Linked DNA regions of Notamacropus eugenii. The protein of the gene in region 2 binds, or shares a complex with, the protein of the main gene of each other region. Links are inferred from orthologs where the notes say so. Each region holds a gene or a part of one and is shown on either strand. Other genes may lie near its edges.

Region 1 (7,078 bases), on a different chromosome or scaffold from region 2:
TTCCTGCCTTCCTGCCTCATCCTATTTTGGGTTGGGGGTGGGGGTAGGGATGAATTAGTGTGAGAAGGGAACTTCTACTTCTCTTAGTCCTGCTAGTCTGCTGTTCTTGGGCATCTTAGCTGTTCAGGCCCTTTCAGCTAGCTGTTCCTCCAAGTGGAGTCAGGAGGGGTTAGGAGAAAATGCCAATACTTAGTCCTCTATTGTGGGAAGGGGTTTAGTTCCCTAATCTTGGAGGGCACTCACTCTACCGAATCAGGCCCAGACTCAGCTTGCTTCAGCAACCAACTACCTTCCTCACTTGGTGCTCCCAGTGTGCCCCCATGACTCCCCTTTTTGTGGCCAGCCCAGGGGATACGCGGTGAGCACTGCTGTCTTGCACAGGAAGAAGGCAGGTATGTTGTATTGTTCGAACATTAGCTCTGTGAGTTTTTCTCTTTTGGCTCGAGTGTTCCACTATGGGAGGGAGGGGAGAGAGGATAAGGAGGGGTTTAGGTTGGATATAAATAAGCTAACAAGCACACACACACAGGCTTATGTACTAATATGCACACATACGCATGTACCCAAATGAACATGTTCATAAACACTCACACTTAGAGTGCAGAGAGGCTAGGGACCAGGCCAACTAACACAATGCAAAATGATCTTTACTATCAAACCTCCTCCCTACCCCCAGTGAATGAATACTATCCCCATTCAGAGAGATATGGGAGAGGGGTGTATAAATGTGAAAATGAGGAACACTTGTGGAGAGGGTAGGGAGAGAAATGATAATTGGAGGAAAGGGGAGATAGGGTTCAGTTTTGATGAAGATTTTGAGGGGGAGAGAGATGGGGTGGCTAATTGAGATCCCAAGGCTGGGGTCAAATGTAGAAATAAGGTGATTGATGAAGGATTCTAGGGTAGGCTGGTTAAGATAGAGGACAAACTCCAGAGGCAAGGGGACCCAGAGCTGGGAGTACGTACCGGGGCCTCAGACATGAGTACAGGGTGCAGATTTGGCTCCGATTTGACATGTTTGCTGTAAGTGTGATCCAGAATGGCCCGGAAACACTCCCAGTCCTCAACTGGGCACCAGGAGGGGAGGAGGAGACAGAGGGATGGGAGAGGAAGGGTGGTGAGAGAGGAAGAGACAGATATGTGGGGAAGGGAAACAGAGAGAAGAGGGAGACAGGATGATAGTGAAGAGAGGAAAATCAGGAAGAGGAACACAGAAGAAGTTTCAGAGAGAAGGGAGAAAAGGATAGAGAAAAAGAAAGATATAGAAAGAAATACAGAGAGAAAGAGTGAGAGACAGGCAGACAGATGTTTCAGGGGAAGACAGTAAATGAAATGAAGAAAGAAATAAAGACAGGAGTATATGTCAGGGTGTGTGAGAAAAAGAAAGAGACAAACACGTGTAGGCAGGAGAGGTGAGGACAGGAGGGAAGAGAAAAATGGGGTGGGGGTAGACCTGAGTAGAAAAGTCAGACCCCTTTCCCTACTCTAGGGACCTAGGAAGTGAGTATGGTTGAAGCTGAGGGAGGGGAGGCAGAGAGGACATAAGAGAAACTGGGTAGCCCTGGGACCTGGTGAGGGGAGGTCCTGATCAGTTTTGGAACAACTGGCTGTGTCTGGGGTGGGGGTTGGTGAGGGGCATACTGTGGTCATAATGAATGGGACAGGGGCAAGGGCTGCAGCAGTAGTGTTCCCAGGAATGGATATTGGGGTTTCCCTTACTCATGCCATTCTTGAGGGGTGACATGACCTCAGCCCCATCCCGTGGCACATGCAGGGCATTGGTGTCGATGTGGAATGTTTTCCCCTTCTTCTCCTTCTCTCCATCCAGCTCTAGCCCACCCCCCTCCTCCAGCGTCAGCAACCCTACAGTAGTGGGGAAGTCAGCCTAGGGGGAGGAAGGGAGAGCAGATTACAGTCACCTTTTCTTTTCTCCACATTACTTTATATCCCCAAACAACCCCATCCCAATTACCACATGCCTTTGTTCTTGCCAAACCCATCCCCTTCCCAGGGCTCACATCACTATTCTACTGAACCCATATTAACACTTTCCCAAACTATCAGGAGCCTTCTTTTAACTCCTTCAGGGTGTTTATGTATGAAGGAAGGGGGTGGGTTCTGGGAACCAAGAGGGAGAGAAGTAGGACCGATGTAGACTTTAGGAAAGTTGGGAAGGGGAGCTGGAAGGCTCACCTTGGGGCAGTCCTCCCCAGCATACCCTGCTCGAACTGAGAAGGAACCTATGTCAAAAACCAGGGCTCCAACTTCATCTGTGTGTGTGTCCAAGGGGAGAGAGGAGGAGGGGGAGGAGATTGCAAGTCAGAGCAGAGGGGCTTTCCCTCCCTCAAACCCCACCTCAGAAGACCCAGAGAGAGATGAAGTCGGGGTGTGGAGACTCTCCCCCCTCCCATAAACTCCACCTAAGGGAGACCAGGTGGACATGAGGTCAGAGGGGAGGGAGGAGTCTTCTCCACAAGCCAAAACTCAGATGGGCATTTTGGCCATGGGATCATTTATGGGATCTGAGGGAACAGTAGGAACATAGACACGTTAGGGAGATTTGTGGAATGCTGGACATGGAGGGGGCAATTATATATGCAGAGGTGGGGAGGTGGGAGCTCCTAGCATCCACAAGATCTGAGGTTCTGGGTTGGGGTGAGGGACTGCCTGAGAGAAGAGTATAACAGCCTGTCAGTGAGCTGCTAATAAGGGAGCAGCAGGAGCGCTGAGGGCCTTAAGGAAGGTGAGGAACGCTTGACGAATGCTGGCCATGGGACATTTGCCCTGCAGGTATAAACCAGCTAGGAGCTACCAGGAATGGAGGACTGGGGCTGCAGGAACTGGACCCCCCAGGCTAGGGGTGCGGTGTGAAATGACCTGGCTTGAAGGCCGGGGTCTCGGGGCTATCTCACCTCCTCCGTAGACACCTCCGCTCATGGTGGCTGCTTCCACTCCGGCTCCAGTTCCTGCGGTGGTTCCAGGCCGAGGACCCAAAGCTGCAGCAGCGGGATCAGCACCGAGATAGCCGGACAGCTCCAGGGACCCAGGAGGTGGGGAGAGGGTGCTTAAGGACCGGCCAATCAGAATACCGGATCCCCCACCCCCACTCACGCTTTCAATTGGTGGGGAGCGCAGACAATAACCTAGGCCGGCGCCTCGGTCTTAAAGGGCCAAGTGCCTCCAGGAATTTCTGAAGGGGAGGGGGAGGGGATAAGAGGGTCGAGGCGGGGGTGGGCTATGAAAAAGGGAGAGGAAGGTGGGAAAGCCCCTCTATCCTGAGATCTAGGCCCCGAGGTGAGAGTGGCGTGTGTGGTCTTTGTCCTAGGCTAGGTCTCCTGGAGGACTGAGCCTGGAGTCTAACGAGCCAACGTGGTCCTAAGACAGGCTCAGGAGAAAACGAAGGCCACAGGGTGAGAGAGAACGCCCGGAAACTGAGAAGGAAAAGAGAGAGGGAGAGAAGGGAGGAATCAGCGTGGAAGGATGGAAGAATCTTCTCTTTCTCTGTATTTAACCTTTAACTTGGTGACTCAACCTTTTGTGTGTGTCTCAGAATGATGTTTTTAAATGCATAAAACACATAGAATTACAAAGGAAACCAGTTTTATTAAAATAGTGTGCATATATATGTGTGTGTATATATATGTATATGGATGTGAGCATAAACACATACTATATATGTGTGTGTGTGTATTATATGTATATGTATATGTGTGTGAGCATACATACAAAATTCAGAGACTCCAAGGCCAAGAATTCCTGCAACTGAATTCAGGTCTGTTCCTCTTTTTGGTTTGGGCTTTTTTGAGCCTTTTCGAAACTATGAAGATCTCTCCTTGTTTGGCTCAGGAGATGATTTATAAAGTGAAAATCAAGTGGATAGCTCAAGTGATTCATCTTAGAATCTTGATTTGGCTCCTCACTCTCCACTCCTCAAAGCACACTGAATTTGGTGCGGATGCTGGAGCACTGGAGGTGGTGTTTCAATAAGAAACCTATAGAAAGAAAATTTTAGGGGATTTAGGGGAAATATGTCTTTAAATATTTGAAGATTTGTCATGTAGAATAGGGATTAGACATATTCTTGGACTCAAAGGACTTTAAAGATCTAGAGCTAAAAGTGACCTTAAAAGTCATTGAGTCCAACCATCTCATTTTGAAGATGCTGAAAGTTCAGTGACTTGCACAGTGTGATAAAGTTGGTGAGTGAGGTGTGCAGTTCCATCCTGGGTTTTCCTAACTGCAAGTCCACTCCTCTCTTTTCTACTCTATGGGAGCAATAGGAAGGGGGAGGCAGGGAGAAAAGAAAAAGACAGACACAGAAATACAGAGAGAGAAGCACAGGTATATTTTATCTAAGTATAAATGAGACACTAGCTTCAATAACTCCTTCAGTAGAAACCCCAATAATGTTACTGGATTAAAAGGCAATGGAATCTTGTGAGTGACAGTTGAATAAGCAGTGTCTTAGGAGATTTAGAGTTTAACTGTTCTGTAGGAGACTTAAGAGTTTAACTGTTCTGGAGAAGCTGTTAACTGTGTTGAATGAAGAAATGACAAAAGAAAACATTTCTTGAGAGAGCTAAATTTAATCCTTCTAAAAAATAAAAAATATTTTAATTGGCCACTAGGTAGCGCAGTGGCGCTGGGCTTGGAGTCAAGACCTGAGTTCAAATGCAACCTCAGGCATTTATTAGCTGTCTGACCCTGGGCAAATCACTTAACCTCTATTGGCCTCAGTTTCCACACCTATCAAATGAAAATAACTCTTTTTTGAAAGGTTGTCATGAGGATCAAATGAGATACTATTTATAAAGAGCTTAGTGCTAGTCGCCTGGCACATACTTGGCATTTAGTATTTGTTTTCTACCTTTCTAACTAATCTGGATCTAGAGATAGTTGCAAATTGGGATTATCATCCTAAAACTGAGAAGTATGCAGCTGTAGAGATCCTCAAAGACGAATTGGAATATGAACTTTTTGACAGCTGACAGTTTAAATATTTGTATCTTTGTTTTACTGTTTTGTACCCTGTTAAAATAACCAGCAACCTCAATGTTAAGCCTAGGTAGGGAGGAGAGATAAAATAAATAAAAAATAAGCAACAATCATGGAAAATGGGTTTCTTAAGTTTATTCAAAAAGGAAAAAAATAATTTTTTTTAACAATTAGAGCTACTAATCACTAGAGTTCATCAGACAAAGACTGAATGACCATTTGTTGAATACACTGTAGAGGGAATTTCTGTTCAGGATAAGGGTTGACTAATTTACGTCTAAGAGACTGGGATTCTAGAATGAGTCTGCTGTCAGCAAAGAATTATATGGGTATATCGAATTTATTATAGGTTCTTGGGGATTTTTTTTTAAAGAGATAGAAGGTAAAAGGAGGAAAGAGAGAATGGGATTAGATTGGATGTTCTAAGGTCCCTTCCAGGTGATGTCTTATTGACTTTAGGCAGTTTTCTCTTTTAAAATATACGCTGTGTGTGAAGTGAGATTATTTTGTTCTTTTTATTAGTATACATTTCTTTAGCTAGCCAAATTTATGTTAAATAATTTTTTAAAATTTATTTATAGTGTCTAGCTCAGAGCCTGGTACATTCTAAGGATAGAGCCTGGACCAATGATTTTATTTGTAGAGAGTTCCAGGGTGAGGGGATTCTTCAGTCAATGCAGGTTGGTACCTTCTTTGCAATTTATAGTCTTGGAGAGTTGCCTAGAGTGGTGTGAAACTCAAAATAGAAATCATATATAAGGATCTTTGCAGGGTGCATACTGACTTAGAAAACTACATATTAATATAATTTATGTTCTATTGTATTTTTATTTATTTTGATATTTCCCAAGTACAGTTTAATTTGGCATGGGGTCAGTCCTGCATTGCAGGGTCATATGTGACTGGCAAACTCCAAGTTTGATATTTCTGGTCCAGAGTCAGTTAAGAGAAGTCAGGACTGAACCCAGGTCTTCCTGATTTTGAGGCTGGCTCTTTCTCCACTATGCCACACTGCTCATAAAAGGCACTTAATAAATGCTTCCTGAGTTTGTTTCCTAGGCCCTGGTACATGCATTTTTATATGTGTAGCTGTGTATTCACTTAAACTGGCAGGACTTGTCCATGAGGAGGAATTAGGCAGAATTTGTTCATTCAATATTCATTACATAAATATTTCTCAAATACCTAGCCTATTTTGTGCCACGAATTGCTGGTGATACCAAAACAAAAGAATGAAACTATCTCCTGGACCTCAAGGAGTTTACATTCTATTGGGAGAAAATAGCATGTACCAAAAAAAAAAAAAAATACAAAAAATATATGTAAATTTGAGGTTCATGGATTTACTCAATCAAGCCTCCTCACCTTATAATAAGGTATGCCCTGATGCCTTAATGAGGTAAGAATAAGTTTCAAAGGAGGAACCCATCTGTCCTTGAATACTAAGTGTTCAGATAGTCCTTACACTATCCTCAGACAAATTATCAATTGCGTTGAGAACTGGCACTATTCCAGAGATTGGAGCAAGTGTGACTTTCAGTAACACTTCCTAAGAAGAAACTGCTTGGGGCGGGGAAAGTTACAAAAGGTTTCCAATCTTACTTTGGCCTAAGTCTCTCCTTCCTCCTTAAAAAATATGGAGAATCAAGAGGATTTGGACCTTCCCATCTCCCTGTCATCATTCAAGTCAAGCAAAAACTGGACAAATATTCACTTTGCTATGGAAGAACTTGTTGAGCACCACATGAAAGGGAAAAAGATCTTCCAACAATCAAGAGCCATAACTTACCACTTTGCCACATGTGCTAAACTTGGGCCAATTCACCCCTGGTGTCTCCCACCAGTTTGTCAGACTGAGGTGGGGGTGGGGGAAGAGGATGCTTTGTACCAACTCTCCTTATGGTACTACCTTACTGAATACCCTCTCTGAAAACTACCACATAATCATGATAAGAACACACCAGAATGAGGCTTGGTACCAACAGCATTAAGGAAAGGTGTTCTCCAACCCCTCAGTGGTACCTCTAGAACCAGGTAAGGATTTAGGAACCATTTGCTGAGGACCTGGCTAGTTAGGACAAGA
Region 2 (7,057 bases):
CTCAAAGACCTGGGTTTGTAGAATTAAACAGAAGGGGCAGATACCAGGAAGATCATCTCAGGGACTACTGTAATAATCTAGGAATAAGGCAGTATTAATTAATCATTCTAGAAATTATTAATCTAGGAACAATCTAGGAATAACAGTTATGACAGGGATAGTGGCAATAGAAATATATGTTAGAGCAAAAAAAAACATTTTGAAAAAAGGATCAATAAGATTCAGTCATTTGAGTGGATATTGAAGGTGAAGGACAGGGAAGTAAAAAAAATTACTCCTAGTCTTCCTTTGCCATGATTCTTCATCAACCAAAGTCCAATATATTTTTCACCCTGACTCCCTTTGTTTGCTTTTCTAGTGATTCTTTCCCTGCTCTTTCTCCCCCCTCCCCAGAACCCCTGTGAGAGCCTCCGGGGCCATCCTGCTGGGATGACATATGCCGCCAACATCCTACCTCACCATCCGACCCGAGGCACCTTTGAGGACTTTACCTGCTGAGCCCTGCCAGCCGTCATACCAAAGGCCTGGGAGGGAAGAGGAGGGCAAGGAAAACCTGGGAGATCAAGCTGCTCACCTGCCCTGGGGCTTATCACTGCCCCTCCCACTTCAAGGGCAGCTCCCAACTCCCTTCAAAGTCCTTCCCTCCTAGAACTGGTGGAAGGGGGTTCTGAGTCCAGTGCCCTTCTCTACTCCCTTGCCCTCCATGTCCATACATTTTTATTTTTAACAAAACAAATAACAACAGAAATAAACTACAAAGAGAAAGGGCAAGGGACCCCAGGCTGTCCCTCTATGCCCTGTGCTGCCTCCCCCTGCTCCTAGCCTGACCTATGTCTGTTTGAACATCCATTCTCATCCTGCTTTCACCATTCACTGAAGCTCTTCCAGCAGGGACGACATGAGTGGAAAGACTCCATAGGGGTCTTGAACTGGGCCCCAGACACAGAATGTACCTTAGGAGGGAGGGCTAATGGGGGAGGAGGGCTTCCCTAGCCTTAAGAGACCCTTTCAGTAGTGTCCCTACCCTCCAGTTTTAAATCACAAGGGCAGGAACTGAGGCCCCTGGCCCTCTCTCCCTTACACTTATTGGGTGCCCTTCAGAGGTCAAGGAATAGATGGTGTTCCCTGAGGGACTTGGGACAGGATGAGGCACAGGTTTCATGCCAACATTGGTCCTGGTCCTACCCCAAAATCAGAGAAATTTTTGAATGGGATCCCTCACCCTCATTCCATGAAAAAAGATGTAGACACTTGATTCCCAACTCAGGGAGAGGGGAACTGGCACCTATTTCTCTCCTAACTCCCAGTTCCTCCCTCCAAGGGTCCCTTGCATGGGGCCACATCCATAAATTTTCTTATGGAACTTCCCCAAGTCTTTGTCCTCTATTCCATCTGTTTCTTTCTATGACTTCATCTGCATTTTCTATTTCTATATGATACAGACTCTATATTGCTATAACTGTATATACTCCCTTCCTTACGCCTCTATCTGTCTGCCCTTCCCATCCCCATCCCCTGTGTCTCTAAGTCCCATCCCTACTTCCTCCCAAATCTCCTTCTGTCTCTCTTACCAACCTACTACCAATCCCTCTGAATGCCTTCACCTGTATAAAGTGTTGGACTCTCTCCTCCGGTGTCTGTACTGTGTACACACATCCCCCTGAGAAGCACAAGGAGACGACGTACGCATTGTAACTCTCTCACTGTCTTGGACATAAAGGAAGCTGTGAATCATAAGCTCTGCCTCTTTCTGGCCTGCCCCCCAACCTACCTATGCTTTGAGCACTCTCTGCCCTCCCTGTAGCCTTAAGGCCTCTTCCTTCCTTTCCATCAGTCCCATTATCCCCCTTCTGACTAGGACTTTCCTCCTGGGGGAAGGGGTGGACACAGAGAATTGGCACTTAGCTCAGAGGATAGATATTCCCTCTTGGCCCCAAATCAGGGTGAATTATAGATGATGGAATCCCTGGAGCATGGAGATAAGGTGTCAGGGACAGCGTAAGGGTGGGAAACAACCCATAGTTTCTAAAGGTAGCCACTGAAAAATATATAGGTGGCTAGAAGATAGTGTCTAAGGCCCTCATCCCCAAGGCTATGTCGGCTAGGGTCAAATTCTCCCCATTACTGACTACCCATCCTCTCTTACCTGGGGTCCAAGCCTGTACCTCCATTGCTCAGATTTTAGGGACAAGGCTGGACTTCATAATGAGATAGGACTAGAGGAAGCGTTGGGAGCTCATGCTGTTACACTATCTCCCCATCCTCCCCCTGAGAAATAAGATGAAAATAGAGGTTTGCACCTTCCAATTCATCTTTCTCTATCTCAGATGGTCCAGAAATATCCCTTCCATCCTAAGGCCCTCTTGCTTAGAGCTCCCTGGGGGAAGGCCCCAGCCAACATAGCCTCTGATGATGAGGATGAGGCCACTGACATAATTCTAGGAGATACTTGTTCTCCCCTCTCCATCCCTGTGCTGGGGGAGTGGTAGGGATTTCGGAGGAAGACATTGCTGGGAGTCTATAAATACCTGGTTCCTGGTTGTCACTTGGACAGAGAGCAGACCTCCCTGTAGAGAAACAGGAGGAAGTATGCTCTAAGCAGCTGCGGTGACAGCCAGCAGGATGGTGGGTGAGACACTCCTCTGGTCTAATAAACTGGGTTTCAACCATCTCCCCTCACAGTGTTGTTTTTAATTGTTCATTCGCTGGTTCAACAAGTATGTGTGGAACACCACTTGGCACTGGGTTCAAGGCTTAGAACCCTGCTGGACTTGGCACCAGAGTGCCAGGGGCGGACAAGAACCCCGAGAGGGCCTGGATGGTCATTTTTAGACCAAAGATCTTTATTCTTTTGAGCTAGGACTGCCTAACAGAGGACCAACAGTGGGCTTGAGTTTCAGGCGGGGGAAAGAGGGGGTACAAGGAGAGTCCCCATGGCAATGGGCAAGGTAGTTCGGGTCTAAGGTACGCAGTAGTATCTACGTGAACTTTTATACGCTTTACAAAAGAAAGCTTTACGAATTCTCTCCCTGGAGCGTCACAGTACCTGTAATACCCTAAGTCGCGAGTGCCCACCTCCCCATTTTACAGGAAATTGAGGTCCATCTGCCCAGGGTCATACAGCTCATTAGTCTGAGGTCCGACTACGTCATGCCTAGGACCAGTAAAACTTGGGGGTAGGGCAGATCCAAAGGTGAGGAGGGTGACTCCACCCCGACACTCCCGTTTCCTAGCCGGGTGCCCGCGGGCACATCACGGACGCGCTCCGGGAGGTTCCCAAAGCGCCCGGGCGGCCTCGGCCAAGTAGACCCCCGGGGCCCGGAGCCGGGCAGACCCTGCTTCAGATCCTGTCCCAGCCGGGCGCCCCGGGGCGAGTTCACTTCGCCTGCCTGCCTCAGGGTCCTCCTCTGTACAACGGGGGTAAATAATAGCCCCCACCTCCTCGGGATCGTTGCGAGGATAAACAAACCCACGGCGCCTGCAAAGCTCCTTTCGAACCATGGAGCGCGGTACCGAGCCGAGCCAGCCGAGTTACGGAGCCTGCTTCCGTGTGTGCCGTACGGGCGATCGAGAGCCTCCCCCGCCGCCTTGGCAGGAAGAAATGAGACAACCCGAGGGCAGCAAAGCGCTTCTTAAGCAGCGAGCGCAGCTACACCCGGCGCTGCCCGGGCCCGGCCCCGCCGGCCGGCCCAGCCTGGCCGGGGTAGCTGGTGCCAGGTGCGCGCCGCGCTCGGGACCGGAGACTCGGCGCCTGGCCGCCCTCCGGCCGGCAGGGGGCGCGGCTCAGGGGCGCTCTCCCCCGCAGCTCCTTCTCGCTGGTTTCTCCGCCTAGGGCCAGCGGGCCAGGAGGAGGGGACCGCCCGCCTCGCCTTTTCCACCACTCCCTTCTAGCCCGCAGTCTCGTTGCCCGAAGCCACCCCTTCCCTATCCCGGGCAAGCTCCGGAGGTCTGGGGGTGGGAGGGGGGGTAGCTGAGGGGGAAGGGAGAGTGGCCGAGAGAGGGGGGAGTTCCGGTTCCGGTTCTTTGTGCGGCGGCGGCAGCGGCTCCGGGGGAAGATGGCGGCCCGGGCTGGTTTCCAGTCAGTGGCTCCGAGCGGCGGCGCCGGAGCTGCGTCAGGGGCGGGCGCGGCGGCCGCCCTGGGCCCGGGTGGGACCCCGGGGCCCCCGGTGCGAATGGGCCCGGCGCCCGGCCAGGGGCTCTACCGCTCTCCGATGCCCGGAGCAGCCTATCCGGTGAGTGGGGGCGGGGAAGAGGGGGGCAGGAGGAGGGGCGCGCGGGAGGGGGGCGGGCCCTGCGGGTGAGTGGCAGAAGGGGCTGGGCCGGGGGTGCCCGGAGGCGGCCGGAACCGGGGAGAAGGGGAGGGCGAGAGGATGGAGATGGAGCTGGCCGTGGCCCGGCGGCTTGGGGAGAGGAGCGAGCTGCAGAGCCAGGCGCCTCCGGTCCGGCCGCATCCCTCCCGGTGTGCGCTTAGGGAGGCCGGACCGCGGGAGCAGGTTCGGCGGAGGTCCTGGGTTCAAATGCGGCCGCCGCTTGACGTCCGCGTGCTCTGGGGCCAGTTCACCCAGCCCTTGTGGCCTCGGCTTCCAGGTCCCTAAAGTAAAGGCGCCCCTTCGTCCTAGGGTTAATGTCCTACGTACAGCTTGCAGCTTCTGCATTCAGATTTGGGAGATGGGCCAAGGTGACCTCCCAGGTCCGGTCCAACTCTGGTTCTGGCTCTGTTTCTTTGGAAGGGTACGGAGTTAGGTTATAGAGGAGAGGCTGAAGAGGGAGTTCTGATCTACGGAAGATTAAGAACTCCACGGTGTCCTGATAACCATTGAAGGCATAGTTGTCAAAGAGATAGCGACTAGAAAAGAAGAACCCCAAAGGAACAGGAGGCTTAAGGGAAAGAGGAAATCCCAGAACAGCAAGGAAGCGTGTTTATGCATTAGAGGAGATGGGGCGGGCTAGATGACATTTTACCTTGGTCTCGTCCTTTGGTCCTTTCTTCTACTTTGGGCTGGTCCGCCTTCTCAGGAGCCAGGATCCTGGGTAAAGGAAGCTCCAGTTAGCCCACATTCATACAAGGTTCTAGGGTTCTCCCATTTTCCCCATACCTTTCCCTGAGGTAACACAATATTCTTTCTAACATCCCACAGCTCGGGACAGCTATAACATCTCTGTGTTGTGTCTCACCTACAGCGTCCAGGCATGTTGCCAGGGAGCCGTATGACACCTCAGGGACCTTCTATGGGACCTCCTGGCTATGGGGGGAATCCTTCAGTTCGACCTGGTCTGGCCCAGTCAGGAATAGATCAGTCCCGAAAGAGACCAGCTCCTCAACAGATCCAACAGGTCCAGCAGCAGGCGGTCCAGAATCGAAATCACAAGTAAGACACTTCTGGGAAGGGTAAAAGCAATTCTATGGAGACATAGCAGCTGAAACTGGGGAGTGTGTCTATAAACCTATGTGACTCATGAAACTACCTTATCTGAGTTTACCATGGGTTGGGGGGATTTTTCTCTGGTCTGAAAGAAACTTTTCAGTCCCTGGGCACCCCTTTTCCTCTTTCTCATGCATTCATATGAGGATGCCGCCCTCCCCATTTTCAGATTCTGGTCAGTTCCATCCCAGCCTAATACCAATGTTTATTCTGAACAGTGCAAAGAAAAAGAAGATGGCTGACAAAATTCTACCTCAAAGGGTGAGTCTAGCACGCCTTCCCCATGTCCTGAGTCTCCCCTAGGGCCCCTATAGTACCCGTGAGTTTGAAAGCAAATTTTATATACCTGACTATATCTTGCTCCCCTTTAGATTCGTGAGCTGGTACCAGAATCCCAGGCCTACATGGACCTCTTGGCTTTTGAAAGGAAACTGGATCAAACCATTATGAGGAAACGGCTAGATATCCAGGAGGCCTTGAAACGACCCATCAAGGTACAGGAAACTCCTCGGCAGAGACCCAAGAAAGAGGGATTCAGGATCCATCAGCAGTCTAAGAAATTGAAAGTTCACTGTAGATCTCCCAGACGTATTTAAATTTCCCCTTTTCCCTAATAGCTAATTTTATTAGAAGTACCAGAATAGAAAAAGGAGAAGAGGGCCCACTGTTTCACCAGAAATCTTTGTACTTTTGATGTCACTGTTGTAATTGAGTCCTCTACCCAGGAACCCAGTTGGCACTGTGAATATCCTCGTTTGTCTTGCATCCTTATTTATGCACTGTGGGCTGGTTGCCCATTCATTTCTCCTAGTTGGAATCTCTACCCTCCCCAAGGGACTGGGCAGACAGCAATTTGTTCTGGTAGAATTAAATGGTTAGGGCACAGTATTGTTTCCAAAGCTCTATACTAATCTTTGTTTCTACCCCCTCCAGCAAAAACGGAAACTTCGTATTTTCATTTCGAATACTTTCAATCCAGCTAAATCAGATGCTGAAGATGGGGAAGGAACTGTGGCTTCCTGGGAGCTTCGAGTGGAAGGAAGGCTCCTTGAGGATGTGAGTGTGATGTTCACACTGGTAGGGACTGGGGGTGGGGGCATCTAGAGAAGAGCAATGTCTTTCTGGTCTGGAGGGACCCTGAACGGTGCTCACAACTCCTTTCCAGAGCAGCAGGGAGAGGGACGTTCGGCTCCTTGCGTTGGAAGACAATGGCTCTTTGTGTGCAGCTCCCACAGCTTTGGCCTTCACTGCCATATCGTGTTGAGAACACTATTGTCCTGTGATCTGATTTGCTGTTCACTTCCCCCCTCGGCTCGTTCTGGCCATTAATGGTTTCCCAGGTTTCTGCTGATTACCTTGGTTTGGGCTTATTTATCAAGTGAGTTTGCAGGTTTTTCCCCCATATGGCATTTCAAGCCATGACTTCCTGTCTGAATCCTTAAGATCCTTAATTCCCATTGTGTGATCTCCCTTCTCTCTGCTGTTGCTGAGAACAAATCATGATTTAGAACAGGCAGATTTCTCTGACATGCTATTCATTATTTCATGCTGAGTGTCAACGGGGGGGTTGTGAGCCCCTAGACCTCCCACCCCCACTTGCTCCTCGGGGAAGCTTATTTTTTCCTCATTACCTT

The links. Proteins that work in one complex are often made in the same cells at the same time.
Region 1: SMARCD1 (region 2) and ACTL6B share a complex: the UniProt entries of both Homo sapiens proteins name them as parts of the BAF complex. The link is inferred for Notamacropus eugenii from reciprocal best matches to the Homo sapiens genes SMARCD1 and ACTL6B.

Annotation. Positions count from the first base shown.
Region 1 is NC_092873.1:80,136,415-80,143,492, reverse strand, and holds the start of ACTL6B (actin-like protein 6B), read right to left. Parts: upstream 3,047-7,078; 5' UTR 2,938-3,046; coding exon 2,913-2,937; intron 2,271-2,912; coding exon 2,194-2,270; intron 1,886-2,193; coding exon 1,720-1,885; intron 1,068-1,719; coding exon 967-1,067; intron 454-966; coding exon 356-453; intron 1-355. UniProt on the Homo sapiens protein: Involved in transcriptional activation and repression of select genes by chromatin remodeling (alteration of DNA-nucleosome topology).
Region 2 is NC_092874.1:222,199,514-222,206,570, forward strand, and holds the start of SMARCD1 (SWI/SNF-related matrix-associated actin-dependent regulator of chromatin subfamily D member 1), read left to right. Parts: upstream 1-4,004; 5' UTR 4,005-4,055; coding exon 4,056-4,232; intron 4,233-4,344; exon of another isoform or gene 4,345-4,370; coding exon of another isoform or gene 4,371-4,493; intron 4,494-5,181; coding exon 5,182-5,369; intron 5,370-5,641; coding exon 5,642-5,684; intron 5,685-5,794; coding exon 5,795-5,917; intron 5,918-6,356; coding exon 6,357-6,479; intron 6,480-7,057. Other genes in the region: ASIC1 (acid-sensing ion channel 1), read left to right, coding at 394-498. UniProt on the Homo sapiens protein: Involved in transcriptional activation and repression of select genes by chromatin remodeling (alteration of DNA-nucleosome topology).